Anolis sagrei: one gene and its partners. The protein of the gene in region 3 interacts with the protein of the main gene of each other region in a pairwise test. Links are inferred from orthologs where the notes say so. Each region holds a gene or a part of one and is shown on either strand. Other genes may lie near its edges.

What was found.
Region 1: the proteins of PIN1 (region 3) and ABI2 interact in binary tests that used the Homo sapiens proteins (3 or more experiments, as listed by UniProt). The link is inferred for Anolis sagrei from reciprocal best matches to the Homo sapiens genes PIN1 and ABI2.
Region 2: the proteins of PIN1 (region 3) and AMOT interact in binary tests that used the Homo sapiens proteins (3 or more experiments, as listed by UniProt). The two-hybrid records come from large-scale screens. The link is inferred for Anolis sagrei from reciprocal best matches to the Homo sapiens genes PIN1 and AMOT.

The regions. Positions count from the first base shown.
Region 1 is NC_090021.1:165,825,657-165,835,469, reverse strand, and holds the start of ABI2 (abl interactor 2), read right to left. Parts: upstream 4,126-9,813; 5' UTR 4,074-4,125; coding exon 3,957-4,073; intron 1-3,956. UniProt on the Homo sapiens protein: Regulator of actin cytoskeleton dynamics underlying cell motility and adhesion. Functions as a component of the WAVE complex, which activates actin nucleating machinery Arp2/3 to drive lamellipodia formation.
Region 2 is NC_090030.1:33,525,078-33,534,452, forward strand, and holds the start of AMOT (angiomotin), read right to left. Parts: upstream 4,126-9,375; 5' UTR 3,891-4,125; intron 1-3,890.
Region 3 is NC_090022.1:147,605,003-147,615,338, forward strand, and holds the start of PIN1 (peptidyl-prolyl cis-trans isomerase NIMA-interacting 1), read left to right. Parts: upstream 1-6,226; 5' UTR 6,227-6,284; coding exon 6,285-6,342; intron 6,343-10,336. Other genes in the region: UBL5 (ubiquitin-like protein 5), read left to right, coding at 741-784. UniProt on the Homo sapiens protein: Peptidyl-prolyl cis/trans isomerase (PPIase) that binds to and isomerizes specific phosphorylated Ser/Thr-Pro (pSer/Thr-Pro) motifs.

The DNA.
Region 1 (9,813 bases), on a different chromosome or scaffold from region 3:
CTCATATACAGTAGTCTACCTTCTCTCACACACCTCTTTGTCAACCTGTATTAAAACCAGCTTTTTTGTGACATTCTGAAAAAATGCTTGCATTTTAAATCAGTCCTAAAGGATGCATACATTTATATATTACCAGCTTTTCATTTAATATGTGCATAAGTAAAGAAAATCGTTTTTCTACTTGCATACATCAAAAAAGAAAAAGAAATGTATTCATTTTTACAGCTAAGCAACACTAAAATGCTTTTTTATTTTTTTAAAAAGTCTTTTTTATAAGATGCCGATGAATTGGAAGAAATTGTTAAATATTTATTTTGCCTCTTAAGAGTCATAAATGTTACACACCTATTTAAAAATAAGCTCCATGCTTCTATATAAATTAGACCTATTTGGGAACAATCTACATGACAACAGTTTGTTTAGTCCACACAGATTGCTGAAATTCTTTGTTTTCTTTGTTAAGTACTATTAATAACAGTTTAATGTTGCTAAGGCAATTTCAGAGTTGCAGGCTCCTTTGCTTTTGTTGCTTAAATTAAAATGAGGACCGTATCACCACCTAGCTATTTTACCCAAATGGAAATATACAATAATTTTAAATACTGAAAATGAAGCTCTTATTTTTCCTGCAAACCATGAGGAAAACACTAATTAACAGTAATTACCAGTAACAAATCTATAATTCATTCTTCCCCAGCAAACTACAACCCTGAATTATAAGTTTGGTTCACATGACACATTCACAGTCATCTGCCAACTTCACTGTAGTTCAGATATCTTTCTTAATCTTACCCATTTTAGCTACCTACCTTATATTGTACAGTGTAAGAGGAAGTTGCAAAGAATCAAAATCCTTTTTTTAAAAAAATAAACATTTGGGGGGAAAGTCTCAATCAGCATTCCTGGCTAAAATGTTATCCAAGACTGTGTACTCGTTTGCCGGCAAGATTTCCTTAACTTTCTGTAATCCTCAACGAAATTCTCCAGGGTTATGGGAAGAGAGCTCCTATGCCACATCACATTTTCAGCTAAGTCTGATCAGAAATGAAATTATCTACAGGTCAAAATGTCAAAACCACTTTCTCTTCAAATAAGTAAACACAAAAAAAAGCCCTGCAAGTCTACAAATCCCAACAAGTTCAGTAATACAGAAAAACGGATCTTACTCATCCTATGTCTCTGCCTCAAAGGAAAACCTTCTGTTGTGCATGAACCACAAAGCTATTATATATAAAGGGTGCCATGGTGAAGCCATGGTGCATGCACCGGTCTGAGGGACTACAAAAGCTCTCTGAACACACCAGGAAGATTGAATATCAATTTGCTAGAACTGGTCTTTCAACAACACAAATGGAACACAGTGCATCGTCACTCATTTTGCCATTTTAAATGTTTTGTCCTTCCCTAATTCTTCGTCTCTTTATATTACCAGCATTTCTCACTGCATATATGACTGGGGGGAAACAAAGGCATCTCAGCAGATACAGATAAACTGCAATTTTAAGAATGGAAGATGAATTAAAATTATATTTAGCTACAACACAGGGATACATTGCAAGGTTTGAGATTGTGTATATGATCGGTATCATAGTCCAGATTAATCCCCAATATAAAACAGGCTACAGGAATTATTTTGCCTTCCCTATCTCCTATTTCAACAACCCAGAAACCCCATATTTACTAACCCAAGTTCTACAATTCTCTGAGCTTTGAAAGATGTATGGGCAAATATAATGCAAAGATAACAGAAATGCAGATGGGTATCAAGAAACAGATGCAGCTTCATGATAGCCACTTGAAGCATGATCATTCAGTTTTTAGCTACATCCTAGTTCTCCCTTAGTGAGCATGGAAGGCAAGTCATAATAATGTCAATATTTGAAGCATATCTTCCTCCAATCCAACACCATGCCATTCTCCTTGCAGTTTTTTTCACTTGTGCTCTATGGAATTGTACCAACATGCAACATGCTAAAGAAACTGCAAACCAAGTACTAACATCATCTTTAACTACATCATCTCTACTTGTGCTAAAGAAAACTGGGTGCGAAAGATGCTGTCTAAAATACAAAACATAAATACAAAGCTTTCCTTCAGATATCTACTCAAATACTAAAGTATTTTCAGCCCACAATATATTATTCTCATAGGAGACTGTTTTGCTGCTGAAACACAGTAAAAGCCACAACTCATCTAGCCACAAAGTCAGGTCTAAGGATCATTCCACACAATATATTATTCTCATAGGAGACTGTTTTTCTGCTGAAACACAGTAAAAGCCTCAACCCATCTAGCCATAAAGTCAGGTCTAAGGGCCCTTCCACACAGCTGAATAAAATCCCATAATATCTGCTTTGAACTTGAATATATGGCAATGTGGACTCGAGATAACCCAGTTCGAAGCAGATATTGTGGGATTTTCTGCCTTGATATTCTGGGTTATATGGCTGTGTGGAAGGGCCCACGGCCATATAAACCAGAATATCAAGGCAGATAACCCACAATATCTGCTTTGAACTGGGTTATCTGAGGCCCCTTCCACACAGCTGTGTAAAATCCACATTGAACTGGATTATATGGCAGTGTGGACTCAGATAATCCAGTTCAAAGCAGATATTGGCCCCTTCCACACAGCTGAATAAAATCCCACATTTTCTACTTTGAACTGGAATATATGGCAGTGTGGACTCAGATTACTCAGTCCAAAGCAAACATTGTGGGATTTTCTGCCTTGATATTCTGGGTTATATGGCTGTGCGGAAGGGCCCTGAGTCCACATTGCCATAAAATCCAGTTCAATGTGATTTTATACAGCTGTGTGGAAGGGGCCTCAGATAGCCAAACAAGAGTAGGAGACTTTAACCTAAAGTGTGGTTTGACATCACCTCCCAATCAGACCAGTATTTAATTACAAAAAAGGCAGTGTTTGGTACTTTGGGAATCTGAATTATTTATTCAACTGGTATTCCAATCGGGACCACAACAGGAGAGAGGAAAAGCCCACTCTTCATGCCAATCGTCTCTTGACAAATAAGATACAGGTTGAACACGTCTTAAACCAAACCCCAAAATTTGAATACCGGTAATCCAAAATTGTCCACATCCGTGAGTGAGATAATGACACCTTCAGTTCGTTGATTGAGTCTCCACAATCTTTATTTTGTGCATAACATTATGTAAAATATGATCCATATGTTTACCTTTGGGGCTGTGTGTACAAGGTGCATAAGAAACATAAATGTGACGGGTCCCATCCTAAAGATACCTCATGAAGTGGGATATGCAAATACAGGTATATATGGATCCGAGCTCCAGATCTTCACACAGTCAAATGTACTATCCTATCTGCACACACATCCAAATGCAGACAGTGAGAAAAAGCCTCTGGGAGCAACCAGAATGAGAAGGATTGCCCTGTGTCACCCCATGAGCCCCAATGCACAAGTATTCGCCCACTTTAACCCTTGCATCAGGCTGCCCCAAAGCAGCTGCGACTTGAGACATATACTGAATTGTAAAGAAAGGGGAGGGGGGAGGTCTGTTCTGGGGCCCTTCCACACAGCCATATAACTCAGAATATCAAGGCAGAAAATCCCACCATATCTGCTTTGAACTGGGTTATCTGAGTCCACACTGCCATATATTCCAGTTCAGAGCAGAAAACGTGGGGTTTTTTATTCAGCTGTGTGGAAGGGGCCTTGGACATTAAAGCGTGCGCATCCCCCAGACAGACACCCCAGCCAGGCCTCAAGAGTGCGCTAAATGGTTCTGAGGGAAGGGAAGGAGGCACAGATGTATCTCATGAGGAGGATGGAGAGATGAGACGCACGCGCGCACACACACACACCTTCGTTTCCCTTCACGCTGGCTATTTGGGGAGGGGGGGTTAATGGGGAAAGGGTTTTAACGGGCGGAGGGCCCGCCCCCGCCCCACAGCAAGAGGCAGCGGCCCGTACCTGGATGTAGTTGCTCTCGCAGTACTCGGCGACCCGCTCGAGGTTGGTATAGCTATCGAAGAGGGCCCGGCGCCCTCCCGGGATCTCCTCCTCCAGCAGCATCTGCAGCTCCGCCATCTTCACATCCTCGCGCGCGCGCGCCCGCTCGGCCCCGCCCCTTTTTTCCTCCCTCGCGCTCGGCTCTTCACCCGCCCCCCTTCCGAGCGCGCGCTTGCCCTCCCTCCCTCTCTTCCTTCCTTGGCGACCAACTGCTGCCGCCTCCTTTGCCTCGCGCTCCTTCCTCGCGCTCTCCTCCTCCCTCCCAAGCGTTGCTGTGACGTCCTCCTCCTCCCCTCCTCTCTCTTTCTCTCTCCCTGAGAGGGACAGTCCGCGGCGCGAGGGACCAACAGCGTCGGCTGCGCATGCGCTGAAGACCTCCGCGCGAGCTCCTGCTTGGCTCTGCTACACTGAGGCCAGGAGGGACCCAAGAAGAGGAAGTCGTCTTCCACGCCTTTCTCCCTCACTCTCTCTCCTTGCTTCTCAGGATGCTCTCCGTGTCACACACAGGCGGGAGTGGGCATGGCATCCCCCGCACAGCTGAGGCAGAAAGAACCTTCTGCCTTGGTCGCTTAAGCATAGGCTGAGACATTCGTGCTTCACTTCACAAGGCCTCTGGCCACGAAGAGGCATTAGCCCACTCCAGTCTACAGAAGCAGAGCTCCTTTTCCCCTCCTCGTCCTCAGGCCAGCAGGACATCTTAGACAGCATCACCATTGGAAGGAGGGCGGGAGAAAAGACTTTGCATCATCATATTTAATTACTTAATAATCACCCAAGATGCTCTAGGCCAGGGGTCCTCAGACTTTTTAAACAGAGAGCCAGGTCACAGTCCCTCAAACTGTTGGAGGGCTGGATTATAATCTGAAAACAAAAAAGGAATGAATCCTATGCACACTGCACATATCTTATTTGTAGTGCAAAAAAACACTTAAAAACAATACAATAATTAAAATGAACAATTTTAACAAATATAAACTAATTATTTTACCTCCTCCAAGATGAACTGAACCACCTCAACTGGGCTCTCCAGGCCAATGGATATTCCACCTCAGACATCAGAAGAGCTGCAAGACCAAGAACAAGCCACAAGAGTCAAGATGAAGATCCACCCAGAGGAAAAGTGTTCCTGCCATACATCAAGGGAACCACTGACCGCATAGGGAAGCTGATGAGGAAACACAACATACAAACAATCTACAAACCCACCAAGAAAATCCAACAAATGCTACGTTCAGCAAGGACAAGAGGGATCCTCTCACCTCTGCAGGAGTCTACCGTATACCATGCAGCTGTGGACAAGTCTACATAGGGACCACCAAACGCAGCATTGCCCAAACAAGAATCCAGGAACATGAAAGGCACTGCAGACTACTTCAACCAGAGAAGTCAGCCATAGCAGAGCACCTGATGAACCAACCTGGACACAGCATATTATTTGAGAACACAGAAATGCTGGACCACTCCAACAACCACCATGTCAGACTACACAGAGAAGCCATTGAAATCCACAAGCATGTGGACAATTTCAACAGAAAGGAGGAGACCATGAAAATGAACAAAATCTGGCTACCAGCATTAAAAAAACTCTAAAATTACTACAGCAAAACAGCAGAGAGGAAACAACCAGGCACATCTTAACACCTCTCAACAGAACATTTTCCCAGGCTCAGCCAAGCCTTCAAATGCTAATGAAGGTGGTCAGCTGAAACATTCACACCTAGCTTCAGCAGAGAGCTCTTTGTCCCACCCTGGTCATTCCACAGATATATAAACCCATTTTCCTATTTCCAACAGACCTCACTACCTCTGAGGATGCTTGCCATAGATGCAGGCAAAACATCAGGAGAAATGCCTCTAGAACATGGCCCTATAGCCCGAAAAAACCTACAAGAACCTAACAATAGAATTGGTCCAAACTTGGCACACAGTTCTCCAGAAACTAGGACATGAACCTATGGATTCAAATTACAAGAGAGAAATATTCCACCTAAACCTTTCTGGTAAGGAGTGTGATCCCAACTGGTGGAAGGAAATGAAGGACAAAGGTCACTATAGTAGTCAAGATATCTGAAATGATGTCCCAGTAAAGACAGAGGAAGTTTTTCTTAGGCTCTCCAGAGACTAGGACATGAACCTATGGATTCAAATTACAAGAGAGATAAATATTCCACCTAAATGTTAGGAAAACCTTTCTGGTAAGGAGTGTGATACCAACTGGTGGAAGGAAATGAAGGACAAAGGTCATTATAGTAATCAAGGTTCATCTATATAAATAAAAATGTAATGTTCGTTTGTAGGATTAACAGAACTCAAAAGCCACTGGACGAATTGACACCAAATTTGGACACAATACAATGTAGGCCCTTCACTCAAAAAATTGATTTTGTCATTTGGGAGTTGTAGTTGCTGGGATTTATAGTTCACCTATAATAAAAAAGCATTCTGAACCCCACCAATGATGGAATTGGTCCAAACTTGGCACACAGTTCTCCCATGACCAACAGAAAATACTGTAAGGGTTTGGTGGATAGTGTCCTTTGGTTTTAGAGGTGTAGTTCGCCTACATCCAGAGAGCACTGTGGACTCAAACAATGATGGATCTGGACCAAACTCTACACGAATACTCAATATGCCCAAATGTGAACACTGGTGGAGTTTGGGGAAAATAGAATTTTGACATTTGGGAGTTGTAGTTGCTGGGATTTGTAGTTCATCTACAATCACAGAGCAATCTGAACCCACCAATGACAGAATTGGGCCAAACCTCCCACACAACCCCCATGACCACCAGAGTGGGCCACAGCAACGCGTAGCAGGGGACGGTTAGTAATAATAATAATAATAATAATAATAATAATAATAAACTTTATTGATACCCCGCCACCATCTCCCTGTTGGGGACTCGGAGCGGCTTACATGGGGCCAAGCCGAACAAGAATTACAATATAATAATACAAATTGCAATAAAATAAACAACATAACATTAAAATAAAACATCAAAGCATATAAAACAATATACACAGAACATACAAACTAAACATAATAACAAAATGATATGTACATAAAATGATTTTAAAAACCCCGGGTGAGATAAGGGGGCAGAACTAATTGTAAGGGACAACTCAGAGAGAGATAGGAAAATAAGCAAACCTTCATACATGGGGGGGACTCCTGGGACAAGAATGTTGGGGAGTACTAGTTCTGTGTGGGAGGTTTGGCCCAATTCTATCGTTGGTGGGGTTCAGAATGCTCTGTGATTGTAGGTGAACTATAAATCCCAGCAACTACAACTCCCAAATGTCAAGAGTCTATTTTCCCCAAACTCTACCAGTGTTCACATTTGGGCATATTGAGTATTCGTGTAGAATTTGGTCCAGATCCATCATTGTTTGAGTCCACAGTGATCTCTGGATGTAGGTGAACTACAACTCCAACACCAAAGGACACTGCCCACCAAACCGTTCCTTTTTTCTGTTGGTCATGGGAGAACTGTGTGCCAAGTTTGGTTCAATTCCATCACACACACACATATATATATATGTACACACAAACTCCACCTGCCTGACCACCAACAGACCTCTGAAGATGCCAGTCACAGATGCAGGCAAAACATCAGGAGAGAATGCTACTGTAACATGGCCATACTAATTGTTTCCGTCATAAGAACATGGAAAAAAATATTAAACTGCAAAAACATTTTCCTTCCTCTATTTTTTTTTTTTTTTTTTTGCAGGACATAGTTAGTTAACTTGTGGCCTGCAGCCACATCACAAAAAAATCAGTGAAACAAATGAATCATGTGTTTTAACATTTTCACAATTAGCGCTTCATTATTTATAACACGAAAATAATAGCCTGTTTTAATATTATAAATTCTTTATTTGTTAATATTTATAACGTAATTGCGTTTTCATTGCTGTTCTTGTTCTTGAATTATGTTGCCAACTGCTTTGGTTGCAGTGCTAGGAAAAAGGCAAGATATAAATCAAATAAATGAAAACCCACTATTATAAACACTACAGGGGAATGGGGGAGCATAAGTTCTATGTCACCTCCTCTAAAAATGGCTCAGTAGATTAAGCTGAAATCTGGTGGTTTAGAAAGGTTGTTTTTTGCTTTGAGGAATGCTTGCGCCAAGTTGAAATGGGTTTGAATGGCATTTTCATAAGGGGGTTTAAACATTGAGTGAGTGATGCCTCCAGAGATTTAACAAGCCTTTTCCTTGTAGATTTTGTTATGTAGCTAATTTGACTGTTGGAATTTGACTCTAGAGACCAGTTTGACTCCCCATTCAGCCATGGAAACTCACTGGGGAACCTTGGGCAAGTCACACTCTCTTGGCACCAGAAAACTCTATCGTAGAGTTACCTTAAGATTGCCATTACCTAGAAAGACATGAAGGCACACAACAATATTTTTCATATGATTTGTATTTCTTAATTTCAGAAATGTACTAGGTCAGAGGAAGATCTGGTGGATTTGAACCAAGGAGTCTTAATCCAGCTTTCAAATCACTACACCACACTGATTCTCTGATACCTGAAGGTGATGGTAATTGTCACCATGTCACATTCATCATCATAAGGAGACCCCTACCTCCATGTTTCTTGACATCAACTCTCCTGCTCATGTCTTCTAATCTCACGGCCATGGCTTCTTTGAATGAGGCTGAATATGCACTGTAGATTTAATGCAGTTTGGCACCACTTTAACTACCATGACTCAGTGTTATGGAACCTTAAGAGTTGTAGGTTCAGAAGATCTTTAGCCTCCTCTTCCAAAGAATATGAGCCTCCTTCTATACTGCCATATAATCCGGATTATCAAAACAGATAATCCACATTATTTTCTTTGAACTGGATTTTATGAGTCTACACTGCCCGGTCAAGGCATATAATCTGGATTTTATATGGTAGTGTAGAAAGGGCCTGAGTGTCTCACCAAAATGCAACACAAATTACGAGCCATAGCAGTTAGAGTGATGCCAAATTAATTCTACAGTGTAGATAAATGTAGGAACGGTCAACCCCCAGCTCCACTGGCTGCCGATAAGTTTCCAGTCCCAATTCAAGGTGCAGGTTGTTACCTAAGAAGCTCTAAACGGTCCAGGACCTGCCTATCTACCCCTCTGTTTAAGGCGCTCCACTGGCTGCCATTTATTTTCCGAGCCCAATTCAAGGTGCAGGTGCTCACCTACAAAGCCCTGAACGGTTTGGGACCACCCTACCTGTGTGACCGCATCTCCATCTACGAATCCACACGCTCACTCCGATCATCTGGGGAGGCCCTGCTCGTGATCCCGCCCTCGTCGCAAGCGCGCTTGGTGGGGACACGGGACAGGGCCTTCTCTGTGGCGGTCCCCCGACTTTGGAATGCCCTTCCAAAAGATCTCTGACAGGCCCCTACCTTAGCAGTTTTCAGAAGGAACCTAAAAACCTGGCTGTTCCGATGTGCCTTCTCAGATTAGGAATCCCCATCCCAAGTCCTAGAAGCACTTTAGCACAACCGATGTTACTGCACACAGCACTTTTACTCCTACGTTCCTCCTACCATTTCAGCATTTTAACCCTGTACCCCATTGCACCGGCCGAACCAGTTTTAATAGTGTCTTGATGTAGTTATTGTTGTTATTTTGCTTAATTGTTTTGATTTGCTTGTTTATTATTGTGTTATGTTTTATTGTATTGTGTTTGAGGCTTCGGCCTGTGTAAGCCGCATCGAGTCCTGCAGGAGATGCTAGCGGGGTACAAATAAAGTTAATAAATAAATAAATAAATAAATATCTGTGCAACCGCCTCCTCCCCTATGAGCCCACGCG
Region 2 (9,375 bases), on a different chromosome or scaffold from region 3:
GAACAGACAAGCATCCCGAGTTCTGAAGATCACCTGGGAAGGAATCCCACTGGAGCATTGCAGCGCACCCAAATACCTGGGAGTCACTCTGGACCGTGCTCTGACCTACAAGAAGCACTGCCTGAACATCAAGCAAAACGTGGGTGCTAGAAACAATATCATACAAAAGCTGACTGGCACAACCTGGGGATCACAACCAGACACAGTGAAGACATTTGCCCTTGCGCTATGCTACTCTGCTGCTGAGTACGCATGCCCAGTGTGGAACACATCTCACCACGCTAAAACAGTAGATGTGGCTCTTAATGAGACATGCTGCATTATCACGGGGTGTCTGCGCCCTACACCACTGGAGAAATTACACTGCTTAGCCGGTATTGCACCACCTGACATCCGCCGGGAAGTAGCAGCCAATAGTGAAAGGACCAAGGCAGAGACATCTCTAGCTCATCCCCTGTTTGGGTATCAGCCAGCACGTCAATGACTTAAATCAAGAAATAGTTTTCTAAGATCTACAGAGACACTCGCTGGAACACCTCAGCAAGCGAGAGTCCAAAAGTGGCAGGCTCAAGGTGCCCTTACTGCCTATTACAGTGAAAACCAGCTAATTCCTAATCCATCTAAAATGCAGACGTGTGCTTTCATCTTATGAACATACAAGCATCTCGAGCTCTGAGGATGACCTGGGAAGGAATCTCACTGGAGTATTGCAGCATGCCAAAATACCTTGGAGCTACTCCAGTGTTTCTCAACCTTCCTAATGCCGCGAACCCTTAATCCAGTTCCTCATGTTATGGTGATCCCCAACCATAATATGATTTTCGTTGCTACTTCAGAACTGCAATTTTGCTACTGTTTTGAATCAAAATGTAAATATCTGATATGCTGGATGTATTTTCATTCACTGGACTACATTTGGTACAAACACCCAATACGCCCAAATCTGAATACTGGTGGAACTGGGTATTTTGTCATTTGGGAGTTGAAGTTGCTGGGATTTATACAGTTCACATACAATCAAAAAGCATTCCAAATTCCACCAACGATTGAATTGAACCAAACTTGCCACAGTTTGGTTCTGTGTGCCAAGTTTGGTTCATTTCCACCGTTGGTGGGGTTCAGAATGCTCTTTGATTGTAGGTGAACTATAAATCCCAGCAACTACAACTCCCAAATGACAAAATCAATTTTTTGAGTGAAGGACATACATTGGGTTGTTAGGTGTCTTGTGTCCAAATTTGGTGGCAATTCCTCCGGTGGTTTTTGAGTTCTGTGAATACCACAAACGAACATTACATTTTTATTTATATAGATTGTATTGATGTGTTCTGTTATATTGTTTTATATTGTTGCTGGGCTTGGCCTCATGTAAGCTGCCCCAAGTCCCTGTGGGAAGATGGTGGTGGGGTCATAGAAATATAATAATAATAACATAGAATAATATAAATAATAAATATATAATAATAATACATTTATTTATTTATATACCGCTTTTCTCAGCCCTTAGGTGACTCAAAGTGGTTAACAGCAGCAAAATTCAATGCTAAACATTACAAAACAATTAAATTAAAACAATAGCATAACAACAATTAAACATCAATATAACAAATCAATCGCGTCCCATCACTAGAATCAGAATCCAATCTCATTGTCCGTTATTCCACGTTCCTATATTCAATTACACTGCTTAATTGAATGCTTGTTCAAACAACCAGGTCTTCACTTTCCTCCGAAATGCCAATAAGGAGGGGTCCGATCTTATATCTGTAGGAAGGGCGTTCCACAGCCGAGGGGCCACCACTGAGAAGGCCCTCACTCTTATCCCACCAGGCGTGCCTGTGATGCAGGCGGGACTGAGAGCAGGACCTCCCCAGATGATCTTAATGTCCTAGTTGGTTCATAGGAGGAGATGCGTTCGGACAGGTAAAATAATAATAATAATAATAATAATAATAGAATAATAATAGAATCTATATAAATAAAAATGTAGTGCTAGTTTGCGGGACGAACATAACTCAAAAACCACTGGACGAATTGACACCAAATTTGGACACAAGACACCGATCAGGCCAACGAGTGACCATCACTCATAAAAATACTGGAGAACACAGCAGAAGAGACTTAAATAAAGCTTTATTATAAAGCCAAATCCGAGACCACTCCTGCTAGCTCAGATAAGGAGACTGTTGTGCAGCGGGGTGGTCGGTACACTAACAGAATCCCTATCCTGTCCCGGTCACCTATCCTAAAGCCGGCACACTCAAAGGAAGATGACTGTGGGATGGGGCACCTGATCAGGGGGATAAAATCCTTATAGACCACTGCGACTCCACCTCCCCTCCCTCCAGGCCTTGGTTGGTGCTGCACAGAGTCTTAAATAAAGCTTTATTATTATTATTATTATTATTATTATTAATATTTACTCTCTTGACCTTTCACCCGCATCTATAGCAGGCATCCTCAGAGGTTGTGAGGTCTGTTGGAAACTAGGACAAAGTGGGCGACTAAAATGATCAAGGGTCTGGAGAACACACCCTATGAGGAGCGGCTTAAGGGCATGTTTAGCCTGAAGAAGAGAAGGCTGAGAGGAGATATGATAGCCATGTATAAATATGTGAGAGGAAGCCACAGGGAGGAGGGAGCAAGCTTGTTTTCTGCTTCCCTGGAGAGTAGGACGCGAAACAATGGCTTCAAACTACAAGAGAGGAGATTCCATCTGAACATGAGGAAGAACTTCCTGACTGTGAGAGCCGTTCAGCAGTGGAAATACTCAAGGCGCAATTGCAAACTGTGCCAACAAAGAGAAAAAATAGGACAAGTGCAAAGAAGCCAGAATGGATGTCCAAAGAACTTCTAACTGCAACAGCAAAAACAGCAGAGAGGAAACAGGCAGGGACATCTAATTACCTTTCGAGAAGAGTTTGCTCCAGGCATAGTCAGCCCATTGTATGCTAATCAAGGTGGTCAGTTGAAATATTCACACCTAGCCCAACTGACAAAAGTCCTTTGTCTCACCCTGGTTATTCCACAGATATATAAACCCTTTCCCCCAGTTCCAACAGACCTCACCTCTGAGGATGCTTGCCATAGATGCAGGCGAAACGTCAGGAGAAATGCCTCTAGAACATGGCCATATAGCCCGAAGAAACCCACAAGAACTTAACTTCTAACTGTGCTAAAACACAAAAGAGACATGCACAAGAAGTGGAAAAAGGGAGAAATCACCAAAGAAGAATTCAAACAAATAGCCAACACCTGTAGGGAACTCTCTGCCTCGGAGTGTGGTGGAGGCTCCTTCTTTGGAGGCTTTTTAAACAGAGGCTGGATGGCCATCTGTCTGGGGTGATTTGAATGCAATATTCCTGCTTCTTGGCAGAATGGGGTTGGACTGGATGACCCAGGAGGTCTCTTCCAACTCTTTGATTCTATGATATATCTGTGAAACCCCCTTTTCCTAGTTCCCAACAGACCTCACAACCTCTGAGAATGCCTGCCATAGATATGGGTGAAACGTCAGGGGAGAGTGCTTCTGGAACAGGGCCAGACAGCCGAGAAAATTCACAACAACCATGAAAAACTTCAACAACACATTGGATAGAATGTTTCAATAGATCTGTTTGGGGGAAACAATATATCTCTCTAATGGATAGATGTTGCTCCTTTTTTATATTTTGTATCCCACAGAAGAACAAGGGGAACTCTCCGCCAAGTTCCTGGGAAAGTGGAGGAAGTTCCTTCCCCCCCCCCCCCCCCCCACTCTGGATCTCGCGTGGTTTGCATGCAAAGAGAGGTCCAGGAGAGGGACAAAGGGAGGTTGGAAAGGGCGGAAACAGTTCCCAGGGGGGTGGAAAGCAAGCCCCCTTCCAAGCCCCCCCCCTCTCAATCCCTACCTTTTGGGGTCCTTCCAAGGCAGAGAGAGAAGGCTTCGAAGGTCAAGGAGAAGGGAGGGTCCATTTCTGAGTCCAGGGGGGAGGAAGGAAGGGAGGGAAGGGAAGGGAGGAAGAGGCAACTGAAGAGGAGGAAGAGGAGGAGGAGAAAGAGGAAGAGGAGGGGAGGAGGAAGAGGAGGAGGAGGAGCCCGCCTAGACCCCCCCCCTCTGCTTCTTGATTTCCCTTCACGCCCCTTGAAAGGGCGCCAGGAAAGGAGGGAAAGGAAGGAAGAAGAGAAAGAGGAGGAGGAAGAAGAGGGGGGTCCTGCCTTGCCTCCCTCTACTGTTTCCCTTCTCTTTGTCCCTCTTGAGCTCAGCCAGGAAGGAAGTGAAGAAGAGGAGGAGGAGGAAGAAGAAGAAGTGGAGGAGGAGGAGGAAGTGGAGGAGGAGGAGGATCCTGCCTTGCTTCTCTCTGCTTCTTCCCTTCTCTTTGCTTCCCTTGAACTCAGCCAGGGAGAGAAGGAAGAGAAGGAGGAGGAAGAAGAGGGGGATCCTGCCTTGCCTCCCTCTACTGTTTCCCTTCTCTTTGTCCCTCTTGAGCTCAGCCAGGAAGGAAGTGAAGAAGAGGAGGAGGAGGAAGAAGAAGAAGTGGAGGAGGAGGAGGAAGTGGAGGAGGAGGAGGATCCTGCCTTGCTTCTCTCTGCTTCTTCCCTTCTCTTTGCTTCCCTTGAACTCAGCCAGGGAGAGAAGGAAGAGAAGGAGGAGGAAGAAGAGGGGGATCCTGCCTTGCCTCCCTCTACTGTTTCCCTTCTCTTTGTCCCTCTTGAGTTCAGCCAGGAAAGAAGTGAAGAAGAAGAGGAGGAGGAAGAAGTGGAGGAGGAGGTTGCTTCTCTCTGCTTCTTCTCTTCTCTTTGCTTCCCTTGAACTCAGCCAGGAAAGAAGTGAAGAGGAGGAGGAGGAGGAGGAGGAAGTGGAGGAGGAGAATCCTGCCTTGCTTCCCTCTTCTTCTTCTTTTCCCTTTGCTTCCCTTCGCCAGGAAAGAAGAGAAGGAGGAGGAGGATCCTGCCTTGCTTCCTTCTTCCCTTTCCTTTGCTTCCCTAGAGCTCAGCCAGAAAACAGGAAAAGAAGGGAGGAAAAGAAGGAGGAGAAAGAGGAGGAGGAACCCAATTTGCTTCCCTCTGCTTCTTCTTTTCCCTTTGCTTCTCTTCGCCAGGAAAGAAGAGAAGGAGGAAGAGGATCCTGCCTTGCTTCCCTCTGCTTCTTCCCTTCTCTTTGCTTCCCTTGAAGAGAAGGAGGAGGAAGAAGAGGGGGATCCTGCCTTGCCTCCCTCTACTGTTTCCCTTCTCTTTGTTCCTCTCGTGCTCAGCCAGGAAAGAAGTGAAGAAGAAGTGGAGGAGGAGGATCCTGTCTTGCTTCCCCCTGCTTCTTCCCTTCCCTTTCCTTCCCTTGAACTCAGCCAGGAAAGAAGTGAAGAAGAGGAGGAGGAGGAAGAAGTGGAGGAGGAGGATCCTGCCTTGCTTCCCTCTGCTTCTTCTTTTCTCTTTGCTTCCCTTGAGCTCAGCCAGGAAAAGAGGGAGAGAAGGGAGGAAGAGGAGGAGAAGAGGAGGAGGTTCCCGCCTTGCTCCTTCTTCCCTTTCTTTGCTTCTCTTGAACTCAGCCAGAAGAGAGGGAGAGAAGGGAGGAAGAGGAGGAGGAAGAGAAGGATCCTGTCTTGCCTGTCTCTACTGTTTCCCTTCTCTTTGTCCCTCTTGAGTTCAGCCAGGGAAGAAATGAAGAAGAGGAGGAGGAAGAAGAAGTGGGGGTGGAGGAGGAGGAGGAGGAGGAGGAAGTGGTGGAGGAGGATCCTGCTTTGCCTGTCTCTACTTTTTCCCTTCTCTTTGTCTCTCTTGAGTTCAGCCAGGAAAGAAGTGAAGAAGAAGAGGAGGAAGAAGTGGTGGTGGTGGAGGAGGAGGAAGAGGAAGTGGAGGAGGAGGATCCTGCCTTGCTTCCCTCTGCTTCTTCCCTTCTCTTTGCTTCCCTTGAACTCAACCAGGGAGAGAAGGAAGAGAAGGAGGAGGAGTATCCTGCCTTGCTTCTTTCTTCCCTTTCCTTTGCTTCCCTAGAGCTCAGCCAGAAAAGAGGGAAAGAAGGGAGGAAGAAGAGGAGGAGGAAGAAGAAGAAGTGGAGGAGGAGGATCCTGCCTTGCTTCCCTCTGCTTCTTCCCTTCTCTTTGCTTCCCTTGAACACAACCAGGGAGAGAAGGAGGAGGAAGAGGAGGAGGATCCTGCCTTGCTTCCTTCTTCCCTTTTCTTTGCTTCCCTAGAGATCAGCAAGAAAAGAGGGAAAGAAGGGAGGAAGAGAAGGAGGAGGAACCCAACTTGCTTCCCTCTGCTTCTTCTTTTCCCTTTGCTTCCCTTCACCAGGAAAGAAGAGAAGGAGAAGGAGGATCCTGCCTTGCTTCCCTCTGCTTCTTCCCTTCTCTTTGCTTCTCTTAAGCTCAGCCAGGAAAAGAGAGAAAGAAGGGAGGAAAAGGAGGAGGAACCCACCTTGCTTCCCTCTATGCAGATACCCTCACTGATTGACTTTGCAGCTGCAAGGTGATTCAGTGCTCTTCAAACTGAGTAATTACAACATTCACACTTGATTCAAACAGACAAGGGTTCTTTCTTCCACCCTGGACATCATTCCGCAGAGGGTTTCTCTGGGCAACAACATCCAGGCCACCTTTATGCAGATACCCTCACTGATTGACTTTGCAGCTGCAAGGCGATTCAATGCTATTCAAACTGACTAATTACAACATTCACACTTGATTCAAACAGACAAGGGTTCTTTCTCCCACCCTGGACATCATTCAACAGAGGGTTCCTCCGGGCCAGAACAGCCAGCCTACCTCTATGCATATACCCTCACTGGTTGACTTTGCAGCTGCAAGGCGATTGAGTGCTATTCAAACTGACTAATTACAAAATTCACACTTGATTCAAACAGATAAGGGTTTTTTCTCCCACCCTGGACATCATTCCACAGAGAGTTCCTCCAGGCAACAACATCCAGCCCACCTCTATGCAGATACCCTCACTGATTGACTTTTTCGCTGCAAGGCTACTCAATGCTTTTCCAACTGACTAATTACAAAATTCACACTTGATTCAAACAGACAAGGGTTCTTTCTCCCACCCTGGACATCATTCCACAGAGAGTTCCTCTGGGCAACAACAGCTAGCCTACATCTCTGCAGATACCCTCACTGATTGACTTTGCAGCTGCAAGGCGATTGGGTTTTAAAGTTGTGAGTTGCCTTGGATCTCAACCGTGGGGGGAAAAAGTGGGGGCATTGCTATTGTTATGGCATTGAGCCGTTGTCGTTGTTGTTTTGGGTTCACCGAGAGTCTGCTGAAATTGCCGTGGTTATAATCATAATAATTATGAAAAAATATGAAAAATGTGGTGAAAATGCTCTTGTCGCCCTCTCGTGGTGCTTTGTTGCTATTGCAGATGTAGGTGGAAGGCATTGAGGGTCACCCTCAGGTGGCAAGTGACTCCTAGTTAAGAACGGGGATGGAATGGGCAGGAAAGGGTTAAATGAGAGGTAGTGGGTGGGGTTGTGCAAATTGGGAGAGAGAAAGGAACCCTGGGATGTCAATTCTGGAGAGAGAAAGAACAGGACATCTAGGATGAAATGGTCCCTGAATGAAAGTGGTTGTAGGTCTTTCGGGCTATATGGCTATGGTCTAGAGGCATTCTCTCCTGACGTTTCGCCTGCATCTATGGCAAGCATCCTCAGAGGTAGTGAGGTCTGTTGGAAGTAGGAAAATGGGTTTATATATCTGTGGAATGACCGGGGTGGGACAAAGGACTCTTGTCTGCTGGAGCTAGGTGTGAATGTTTCAGCTGACCACCTTCATTAGCATTTGATGGCCTGACAGTGCCTGGGGAAAAAGGGAATGAAAGGGAAGGGAAGGAAAGGAGGAAGGAAGGAAGGAAGGAATTAAAGAAGGGAGGAAGAAAAGAGGGAGGGAAGGAAGGAATGAGAGAAAGAAAGAGGGAAGGAAAGGAGGAAGGAAGGAAGGAAAGGATTCAAAAAGGAAAGGAGGAAAGAAGGAAGGAAGGAGAGAAAGAAAGAAAGAAAAAGGAAAGGAAAGGAGGAATTAAAAAAGGAAGGGAGGGAGGAAAGAAGGAAGGAAGGAAGAAAAGAAAAGAGGGAGGAAAGGAAGGAATGAGAGAATGAAAGAAAGGGAGGGAAGGAAGGAAGGAGAGAAAGAAGGAAGGAAGGAAGAAAAGAGAGAGGGAAGGAAGGAATGAGAGGAAAGAAAGGGAAGGAAGGAAGGAAAGGAAAGGAAGGAATTAAAAAAGGGAGGGAGGAAAGAAGGAAGGAAGGAAGAGAGAGGGAAGGAAGGAATGAGAGGAAAGAAAGGGAAGGAGAGAAAGAAGGAAGGAAGGAAAGGAAGGAAGAAAAGAGAGAGGGAAGGAAGGAATGAGAGAAAGAAAGAAAAGAAAGAAAGAGGGAAGGAAGGAATTAAAAAGGGAGGGAGGAAAGAAGGAAGGAAGGAAGGAATGAAAGAAGAGAAAAGAAGGAAAGAAAAAGGAAGGAAGGAAAGAAAGAAAAAGGAAAGGAAAGGAGGAATTAAAAAAGGAAGGGAGGGAGGAAAGAAGGAAAGAAAGCCTGGCAGTGCCTGGAGCAATCTTCTGTTGAGAGGTGATTAGATGTCCTTGTTTTTTTCCTCTCTGTTGTTGTGCTGTTGCAATTTTAGATTTTTTTAATACTGGTAGCCAGATTTTGTTCCTTTTCATGGTCTCCTCCTTTCTGTTGAAATTGTCCACCTGCTTCTTGTGGATGTCAATGGCTTCTCTGTGTAGTCTGACATGGTGGTTGTGAGAGTGGTCCAGCATTTCTGTGTTCTCCAATAATATGCTGTGTCCTTTTGTAAGAGCTTGAAGACCTGGTGGTTTCAACAAGCCTTTGAAAATGACCAGCTCTTACACATTTATCATTTATTTATATTTATTTATTTATTTAGAGCTTTGATAACCCGGTCTTCTCAACCTCCGAAGAGGGACTCAGGCCGGCTAACAGCAGGAAATTCAAACACAAGTAGGATAAACATAATAGCATCGTAATGCATCATTACATAAAATACATTAAAATACAGATCATACAATTACAAAAAGCCAGGTCGTCAAAGTAAAATCACAAATTCATCACTATCCGCCTTTAGTGTGGTCAGCAGTTATTGACTCGATCATCATTCTGCAAATGCAGTAACCCAAAGGCATGATATTACCAGCTTTCTGAAAGTCAGGAGGGGAGGGGCAGTTCTAATCTCCATCGGGAGGGAGTTCCAGAGCCGAGGGGCCACCACCGAGAAAGCCCTGTCCATCATCCCCACCAAACGCGATTGCGAGGGTGGTGAGACCAAGAGCAGGGCCCCTCCAGAAGATCTTAACAACCTTGATGGTTCGTAGGGGAGAATCCGTTCGGACAGGTAAACTGGGCCGGAGTCGTTTAGGGCTTTATAGGTCAAGAC
Region 3 (10,336 bases):
AACAACATGCAGTGTTAAATGTTTGATTTCTATAGCAGATTAGGATTGCCTAACCATGCCTATAGGTTAATGCAGTGTTTCTCAAACTGTGCTCCTCCAGGTGTTTTGGACTTCAACTCCCAGAAATCCCAGCCAGTTTACTAGCTGTTAGGAATTGTGGGAGCTAAAGTGCAAAACATCTGGAGGAGCACCATTTGAGAAATATTGGGTTGATGGAAAAGTTTGCTGGCCTTACAAAAGAAGAAAAGGGGTTCTAGATGTAGGCTTGCTGATATCTCTGCTTCATTTTTCAGATTTGTGTAATGTGCTTGAGTTTATAAAAAGTCCTATGTTTATATATTACGTTTTCCATTAAAGTTTAATGTAAAGGCTGAGATGATAATATGTGAAATGGCTCTGTCTCTGCCTTTTACTATATATTGCTCAGTATTTAAAACAGGAGCAGCCAACTGGTATCTATCTAGTGTTGAAATTCCCAGCAGCCTTGGTTAGTATAGCTAAAATGAAGACTGGTGAAATTTCATGTCAACATCTGGTGTGTTGTTTCCTGATAAAGTGTTAATTTGTAGGTCTGTGTATGGCTTCTGGCAGTTTGAAAATATGAGGATCAGCATCTGTGATGTTTCCAAAGGAAATGCCATTTTGGTAGTATCGTAGACTTTTCTAGATTTACACATTAAGCTCACTTACTAGACCTGAATGTTTTCCTGTGGGAATTCACCTTAACTTTTTACTTTCAGATGAAATCCATGATGGCATGAACCTAGAACTATACTATCAGTAATTTGGTTGTGGAAGATTTCATATCTGTCATGGTCTCTTTTCTTTTTTCTTCATTTCTAATTTCATTGAAAGTGTCAATGGCTTGTTTAGTTGCATGAATTGTGGCTAGTAATATTTTTATCCCTTATGGCAATAAACTAGAAGATATCTTCTCAAACTGTGTGTTTTTTAAAAATACAAATGTTTATAATAAATGTGATATAACAACATGTGTTAGATGTGGTCTTTGAGGCATTTTTAACCATGTTATTTGTGGAAGTTATAGTGAGAATAGGAGCCCCCGGTGGCGCAGTGGGTTAAACCTTTGTGCCGGTAGGGCTGAAGACCGACAGGTTGCAGGTTCGAATCTGGAGAGAGGCAGATGAGCTCCCTCTATCAGCTCCAGCTCCTCATGCAGGGACATGAGAGAAGCCTCCCACAAGGATGGTAAAAAACATCAAATAATCTGGGCGTCCCCTGGGCAACGTCCTTGCAGACGGCCAATTCTCTCACACCAGAAGCAACTTGCAGTCTCTCAAGTCGCTCCTGACACGACCAAAAAAATAAATAAAAATAGTGAGAATAATGTAGCACAGCTTTATCATTCTATCCAAAGAGCGTACCATCCCACAATCCCCTCTTGTTAGCTTAATTATTTACAAATTGATATAGTCACAACTACTTACCACATGTACAACATTTGAATACAACTGGGAGGGCCTGATTTTTTGGTTTACAAAAGTTGCCTTCATTATAAGGTTGGGAAATCTTTGATTTTCAGATGTTTTGGCCTACATTCCCTTTTACCACACTGGCATGGTTAGGAGTTGGAGAACAAAATCTCTAAGGGATAAAGGCTTCTCACTACTGCCTTGTTACTGGTTTAGTGAAAGTTCTTAATCACTGCCAATGTAAATTCACAATAGTGCTTGTTATCTGGAATAACAATAGAAATTACTGCTACACACAGTATTTGTTCTGTTAAATGAATTGGGAATAATCCTTCTGTGCCATTGCCAACCAGAGCAGACAATAATTCATCTAGCCTGTAAGCATCATTCTGTCATAAATTACTGGCTCTATAGCCAAAGTTCTAAATAAAGAGCAGATTTTAACAGCCATTAGCCATGATAGCAAAACAGTGCATGAATTCAATCTGCATTCCATAATTGCTGGTTTAACTTTGGTGGATTTGATTATTTGTAGATTCATTTAATGTGTTCCCTAGGAATTAATAGGTCCTTCAGCATGATCCTATGGTCAACCTCTTGTGGAGGTTGTCCTGGATAACCAAAAGGTGTTGTCTCAGGTAAAATAAAAATTTTCCCCACATTTATGGGACTCTTCTGTACCTAACCGTGAAAATGGAGGGCATACTCGTATATCTCTGGGAGGGGGAAGTGCACAGATTGCCTAAAGAAGGGATAGAAATAATGTAGTTTCCTAGGTACATACTTTTGGACTTCCAGCACTCCTAACCATTGGCTATTCTAGGCTGTTGGGAACTGCAATTCAGTAACATTTAGAAAGTAACACAGTTCCCTTCCCTGGGCTAGAGTTCAGAAGGATGGGGTGTCTTGAAATGGACAAAATTCCTTCTTTTCCTCATTTCTTTAAGCGTTTAGAGATGGATAAACTGCTGCTCAGAATACCTGGCTAAAAACCACACCATGATTTTCGGGGCTTTTGAACTGACTCAGAATTGCACTGTCCTAGTTTCTCTCTAGGCAGGTAGGAACATGAAATGTACGTATTTAAACCTGGGACGGGAGACTGAGTTTTCCAGGTTGTATGGCCATGTTCCAGAAGCATCCTCTCCTGACGTTTCACCCACATCTATGGCAGGCATCTTCAGAATTTTGAGGCCTGTTGGGAACTAGACAAGTGGGGTTTATATATCTGTGGAATATATATAAACCACAGATATATAGAAAAAAAACTCTTGTCTATTTGAGGCAAGTGTGAATGCTGCAATTGGCCACCTTGATTAGCATCAAAAGCCTTGCAGCTTCAAGGCTTGGCCGCTTCCTGCCTGGGGGAATATTTTGTTGGGAGGTGATTAGCTGGCCCTGATTATTTATTGTCTGAATTCCCGTTTTTAAAAATATATAATTTCTTAAATTTTTAAAACCACCTACACACACATAATTGATTAAAAAGCAAACCAGCACCATCACCCTATATTATCTGCAGACAGGGGACATCTTTTTACGATGCCACTGTGTGCAATGGGATTTGAGCCAAACCAAGGGGCCTACTGCATTTCTAAATTGGCTCCACCCAAGAAGGCACTGGGATTGGTTTGCAGTAATGTTTCAAATGCGCAATTCCGAGCCAGAACTAATACGACTGGTGCCAATATTTTGATCAGCAGGGAGTTTGTCCAGAGGAGGGCGACTAAAATAATCAAGGGTCTGGAAAACAAGCCCTATGAGGAGCGGCTTGTTTAGCCTGAAGAAGAGAAGGCTGAGAGGAGATATGATAGCCATGTATAAATATGTGAGAGGAAGCCACAGGGAGGAGGGAGCAAGCTTGTTTTCTGCTTCCCTGGAGACTAGGACGCGGAACAATGGCTTCAAACTACAAGAAAGGAGATTCCGTCTGAACATGAGGAAGAACTTCCTGACTGAGAGCCGTTCAGTAGTGGAACTCTCTGCCCTGGAGTGTGGTGGAGGCTCCTTCTTTGGAGGTTTTTAAACAGAGGCTGGATGGCCATCTGTCAGGGGTGCTTTGGATGCAGTATTCCCGCTTCTTGGCAGGGGGCTGGACTAGATGGCCCATGAGGTCTCTTCCAACTCTTATGATTCTAATCAGAAGACCCATAGTCCTGCCCAGGAACCTTTATTGTGTTGCCTTTGTCTAGATGAGTCCATAAATGTAGGCAAGGCTAGGAACGCCTGAAGACATCCCAGCACAGTATCATCTCCGTAGGCTATTAACTCAAAAGGAGCACAGGACTTGTGATTAAACAAAAGACATTCATGAGGGGGAGGGAAGGTCCAAGGAGCATCTGAACATAATACATTTTCTATAATATAATATGAAGGCAAAAGGAACACATAAAGACAAAACACAGAGGTTTGGAGGACCTGGTGTGCACAGGAGGCATAGTTTCCTCAAGTACACACATTAGCCAGGCTCTTTAGAGTGGGGAGTCTGAGGGAGATTAAGGAGGGGGGCAAGGAACACTCTTGGGGGAAAATGAAAAGATTGGAGTCCAGAGATCCCAGGAAAAAGGAGGAAAAGCACTCCCCCCCCCTCCATAAAGAAGATAAAGACTCCTATTCTCCCATACAAGTCAAAAGTGGCAAAATAGCCCACTGGCTGGGCTCCCGCCTTTGAAACAAAAGTTTCTCGTTCTAATCCCGGTCAGGGAGGGTTACCGAGACATACGTTTTGCTGGGAAAAGCTTCCCCTTGTGTATCCTTTTGTGTGTGTGTGTGTGTAAATGACAGAAGAGGAAGACCCGAGCGAGCCATGCTGCTCCCCTGGAGAGCCATGCCACACCATGAGGGCGGAGGCTGTTTTCCCTCATACAACAGTCTCTAGCTCTAGCCAATAGGAGCGCGACGTCTTCACCCAGTTGGCCAATCGTGGGAGAGGCCGCCGGAGCCATTGTGCGCGTGCGGCGTCGTTGCCAGGAGAAGTGGGCGTGGCCTCCTCTGCGCTTGGTGCTGTGAGAGGAGGGAAGATGGCGGAGGAGGAGAAGCTCCCCGCGGGCTGGGAGAAGCGCATGAGCCGCAGCTCCGGTACCGCCGTGGACTGGGAAGCGGGCGTGGGCGGGCACCGAGCTGTGGGGGCGTCCCGGGAGGGTGTCTGTGCGTGAAGGTCCGGCCTCGGGAAGAAGGAAGGCCGGAAGGGAGTCGCTTTCATTGTGACTTAGATTGAGGGGCCTGCGCGGCGGCGGCCTCTTCCCCCCCCCCCCCCGAAGGAGTGGCGAAAGGCAAGAGGGACTCCCTTTCTGGGCCCGAATCAGTGGGTCCCCAGGTGTTTTGGCCTTCAACTCCCAGACATCCCAGCCAGTTTTACCAGATGTTAGGATTTGTGGGAGTTGAAGGCCAAAACATCTGGGGACCCACAGGTTGAGAGTCACTGGCAGGGATTAGAAAGAAGGGTTTTTCCCCCCTCTCTGCAGGAATGTAGATGGAAGCTATGACGGGGAAAGGAGGGTTACTATCTGTGGCTCCTCCTCAGAGATAAGCCAAACCCCATAGCAAACAGCGGTGTTTCTGGGGGCTCCTTCTCTATTACTGTGGGCCTTTCCACACAACCACATTTTGGTAACTCAGAACATCAATGCAGATAATCCACAATATCTGCTTTAAACTAGATTACCTGAGTCCACACTGACATATAATCCAGTTCAATGTTGATTTTATACAGCCTGTGTTGCAAAATGAGGGCCATGCCTAAAAGTGAGTCACCAACATGAAATGTTTGGAAAGCTGTGGTAGGATTATAAACAAACAACTGATTATAAACAAACAACTGAAAACGTGTTGTCAAAGGCTTTGGAAATCACTGGGTTGCTGTGAGTTTTCCAGCCTGTATGGCCATTTTCCAGAAGCATCCTGACGTTTCACCCACATCTATGGCAGGCATTCTCAGTTTTGAGGTCTGTTGGGAACTAGGTAAATGGGGTTTATATATCTGCGGAATACATATGCACCACAGATATATAGGGAAAAAAAACTTGTCTATTTGAGGCATATGTGATTGCTGCAATTAGCCACCTTGATTAGCATCGAAAAGCCTTGCAGCTTCAAGGCTTGGCCTCTTCCTGCCTGGAGGAATACTTTGTTGGGAGGTGATTAGCTGGCCCTGATTGTTTATTGTCGAATTCCTTTTTGAAAAATATATAATTTCTTAGATTTTTAAAACCACCTCCACACACACACATAAGTGCTTAAAAAGCAAACCAGCAGCAGCACCCTATATTATCTGCAGACAGGGGACATTTTACGACGCTACTGTGTGCAATGGGACTTGAGCCAAACCAAGGGGCCTACTGCATTTCCGAATTGCCTCCGCCCAAGAAGGCACTGGGATTGGTTTGCAGTAACGTTTCAAATGCGCATTTCCGAGCCAGAACTAATACGACTGGTGCCAATATTTCGATCAGCAGAGAGTTTGTCTTATTCCCGGTTCTGGAGGCCATTGGTGTACATCTGCAGTGCGGTGGTACGCTTCGACGTGGTGACTTGAGTAACCACGACGCCTATCCTTCCAATCCATACGCGACGGGGCTCTGTATAGCTTTCCAAAAGCTAAATGTGAGCGCTTTGCTTCGCGTCTGGCCTTTTTTGTCCCTTCGCAGCCTCCGTCGTCTCACCTTTGGCGTGCCAAGGCAGCCAAGTACCCTCTCTCGCGCGGTCTCTAGCTCTAGCCAATAGGAGCGCGACGTCTTCACCCAGTTGGCCAATCGTGAGAGAGGCCGCCGGAGCCATTGTGCGCGTGCGGGGTCGTTGCCAGGAGAAGTGGGCGTGGCCGCCTCTGCGCTTGGTGCTGTGAGAGGAGGGAAGATGGCGGAGGAGGAGAAGCTCCCCGCGGGCTGGGAGAAGCGCATGAGCCGCAGCTCCGGTACCGCCGTGGACTGGGAAGCGGGCGGGAGCGTGGGTGGGTGGGCACCGAGCTGTGGGGGCGTCCTGGGAGGGTGTCTGTGCGTGAAAGTCCGGCCTCGGGAAGAAGGAATGTCGGAAGGGAGCAGCCTTCCTAGTGACTTAGATTGAGGGGCCTGCGTGGCGGCCTTCCCCCCGAGAGAGTGTCGAAGGGGAAAAATCAGTTAATTAAATCAACAGGGATTACAAAGAAGGGTTTCCCCCCCTCTGCAAGAATGTAGGGGAAAGCTATGACGGGGAAAGGAGGGTTACTATCTGTGGCTCCTCAGAGATAAGCCAAACCCCATAGCAAAGAGTGGTGTTTCTGGGGGCTCTTTCTCTCCATTCTCATTTTGTATTTTCTTATACAGGCTGAGTCCCCCTTATTGGCAATTCTGAAATATACCAAATCCCAAAAATGTCCACGTTGGTGGCTGAGATAGTGATGCCTTTGCTGATGGTTCAATGAACACAAAACTTCGTTGCATTATTGCATACACAACATTATTAAAAAGTAGATTGTATAAAAATGAGCTCCAGACTATGTGTAGAAGGGGTATATGGAACATCTATGAATTTCGAGTTTAGACTTGGGTTCCATCTCCATGACATCTCATGTATGTGCAAGTATTCCATTCTGAAATCCAAAACACTTTTGGTCCCTTTCATTTTGGGTAAGGCAACTTACATCTCTCAGCCTTTATTCTCTTCGTTCCTCCCTGAATTGTGAAAGGCCAGGGCAATGTACAACCCTCTGCACTCTCAGCCATTCCTAGCACCTCTTTCTTTACTTACAGCTGTCCTTGCTGTCTTTGTGGACACTGTTTTTATATAATAAAAGTGAACTGATAATTAAGTGTTCTCATTTTATTTTTTTTATTGGTGTTTGCCTTGAATGAAGAGAAGAACTTCATGTCACTTGCTCATAAGGAGCCCCCTGCCCCCAAAGATCCAGGCCTTTCACAAAGGACATTTTTAGAGGTTGCTCTTATTATAACAGCAGATGTATGTAGATTTTAACTTTGCACTTTATCTAAATCCCTTTAAATTGTTTATGAATGAAGCTTTTTGGGTTGATCTATGAGCTAAAATTCTTATCAGAGCCTATTGGACCACATTTAGTTTTCTTTATCCAGGGGATTTGCAGCTGTTTTGGAATACATATTATTGCCCAGACTGATTATAGCTGCTGGTATTTGGCCTCATCACACTAGAGAAAAATCCACTTAAAATCTGGTTTCTGCCTCCAGAATTCTGGGGTATGCAGTTTAGGGAGAAGCCTCACTAAACTACAAACCCCAGAATTCTGCAGGAGGCAGAAACCAGATTTTAAGTGGATTTTTTCTCTAGTGTGATGAAGTGTTTGGATTCCAATACATTTAAAGACTCCTACATGCTAATGGCAAGCCTTTTTCTTTTGAACAGTAATTACATGGGCAGCCCATTCAGCTCATCAGTAGGATTTGATGGCAACATCCCAACCAAGAAATTAGTTCTTGATAGCATGCTGTCTTTAAACACTCACGCTGTACTTGGCCATTATGACTAATAGCATCTTACAAATCTCTCATCTGTCAGTTAGGTTAAGTTTCCTTTAAAGCAGTTGGGCAGGGACCATCACCATGTGTTGTGAAAGTAAATTTCCTAAGCCAGAAGTGGTAAAGCTCACACCTGGGACCAGACAGAAATTTCTGTCCTCACCTCCCTCAGATGGTCATGTCTCCTGTATTACATCATGCCCTCTTTTGCATTCTATATGCTAAAGTGTCTTTTATAATTCTTTGATAAAATATGCTGATATTTTGATCCCATCCTTTGTATCCACTAATCACTAGAAACACTTTTTGTATTTGAATTTGGACTCCAGGCTGGAAGACGTTTCTAATATCTGCTTGTAATGTGTTTTTTTGTAGTATAATCTATAGCATGTAAAAATCACTTGCCACACTCTGATGTTATGACAAACAGAAAATGCATCTTGACACTCTTCTTCTGAATCATAGAATCATAAGAGTTGGAAGGGACCACAGGGGCCATCCGGTCCAACTCCTTGCCATTCAGAAAAAGCACAGTCACTTTACTTCTATCCTTCCTTTTTCCAAGACCAAGATTTATGCTTACACATTAAAACATTTATAATTAAATACATAAAAAGTTATCATTAAAACCAAGTGAAACTATTAATCATGTTAAAAACATACACTCTAAAATGATTTTAATAGTTAATGCAATTCAAAGCAATACAGACAGTAAAGTCCTTTTTTTTTTTTTTGAAACCTTCAGTTCTAAAAGCCTATTGGAATAGAAAAAGCTTTGCCTGCTGATGAAAGCACAACAGCAAGGAGATGGCCATCCTGACCTCCTTAAGCAGGGACTTCCAAACTCTAGGGTTGCCCTTTCTCATATTACCTCTAATTATAACCTTTTAAGTGTGTAAATTTTTTGCAGCAACTCACATAGCTCCCCGCATCTTCCACTGTTCCTTACAGTTGACTATGTAGACTGATTGGAACTGTAGGCCTAAACTTGGGAAAGGCCATGGCTTCACCATTCTTGTGTTACATAATGTATTTGCTGTGATTTGTGTGTATATAACAGAGAAGGCAGGGGGTGTGGAGTGTTATTGCCATGACATGTGGTTACACATACATTAGAACTTACTTGCTATTTTCTTGTCTATTCACCAATGTGGAGAGATCCTTTCGGAGGTCTCCACACTGATTGAGTTTATAGTATCCTATAAGTATTTTGCCTCCATGCCTGTTTACCTCAAACTCTAGGCCAGTGGTTCTCAACCTGGGGTTCCCAGATATTTTTGGCCTTCAACTCCCAGAAATCTTAACAGCTGCTAAACTGGCTGGGATTTCTGGGAGTTGTAGGCCAAAAACATATGGGGACCCCAGATTGAGAACCACTGCTCTAGGCCATGGGTTCCCAAACTGTAGGCCGGATGCAGCCCTCCAAGATCATTTACCTGGCCCCCTCTCTAAACTTCAGATGTGGGGTCACCCTAAATCTAAAATGACTTGAAGGTGCACAACAACAATCATAATTAATTTGACTATCTCATCAACCAAAAACACTGGTAAGTTTATGTTGGTTAACATTGTTCTTCATTTAAAAGATTGTATTCTTTAATGTTTTTAGCACTACAAATAAGATATGTGCAATGTGCATTAGAATTCCTCCATGTTTTTTCCCCAAACTGTAGTCTGGCCCACCAGTAGTCTGGAGGCCCTCTGCTTCAAAAAATTGAGGACCCCTGCTTTTGACCCTTTATTTTGTTCAACTAATTTTTAATCAGTAAAAGGTTTTGTCATGCCTGCTCTGAGGGAACAAGGTAGGGTATGTAGTCCTGTCATTTTACTATCTTCTCAATATTTTAAAGTACATTAATATGAGAGTCATGAAGAGGTGTACAGAGCCCCCCCCCCCCCGGCTTAGTTAAATTTGGACATATTTACTTTTGAGTTGTTAATTTGCCATTTAAAACTAGAATGTCATCACTTATTGAGTTTTTACAGCTGTTTGATTTAATCTACTCCCGAGGGGAAAGTGTTTTAGGCATACATAACTGCAGCATGTTCTGCAGTAGAAAAACTAGAAAGAAAAAAAAATCTCTATCCTCCCTATAACCTAGTAGTACTTTCACTCATGTCATTCACTTGTTTGGCCATCTTTCTGCTTGTTTTTCTGAGTATGATTTAGATATTATTATTGATTACCGTTATATGTTACTTTCACCATTCTTATCAACGGTAAATAGTGTCACAGGACAGTTGTTACAAAATGAAGCCCACACTGACCAGAGAGGGAAGTATTCTCAGTCCAATCAACCCTAAGGATTGCGGAAGCACCAAAGGAATCATGAGAAAATAAAATTTCATGTGAGAACCATCTAGAATATGCCAGACTGCGCATGTATGTGGTATATACAGGAAAGGGGAGGGAAGAAAAAACACAGATAAATCTGGAAC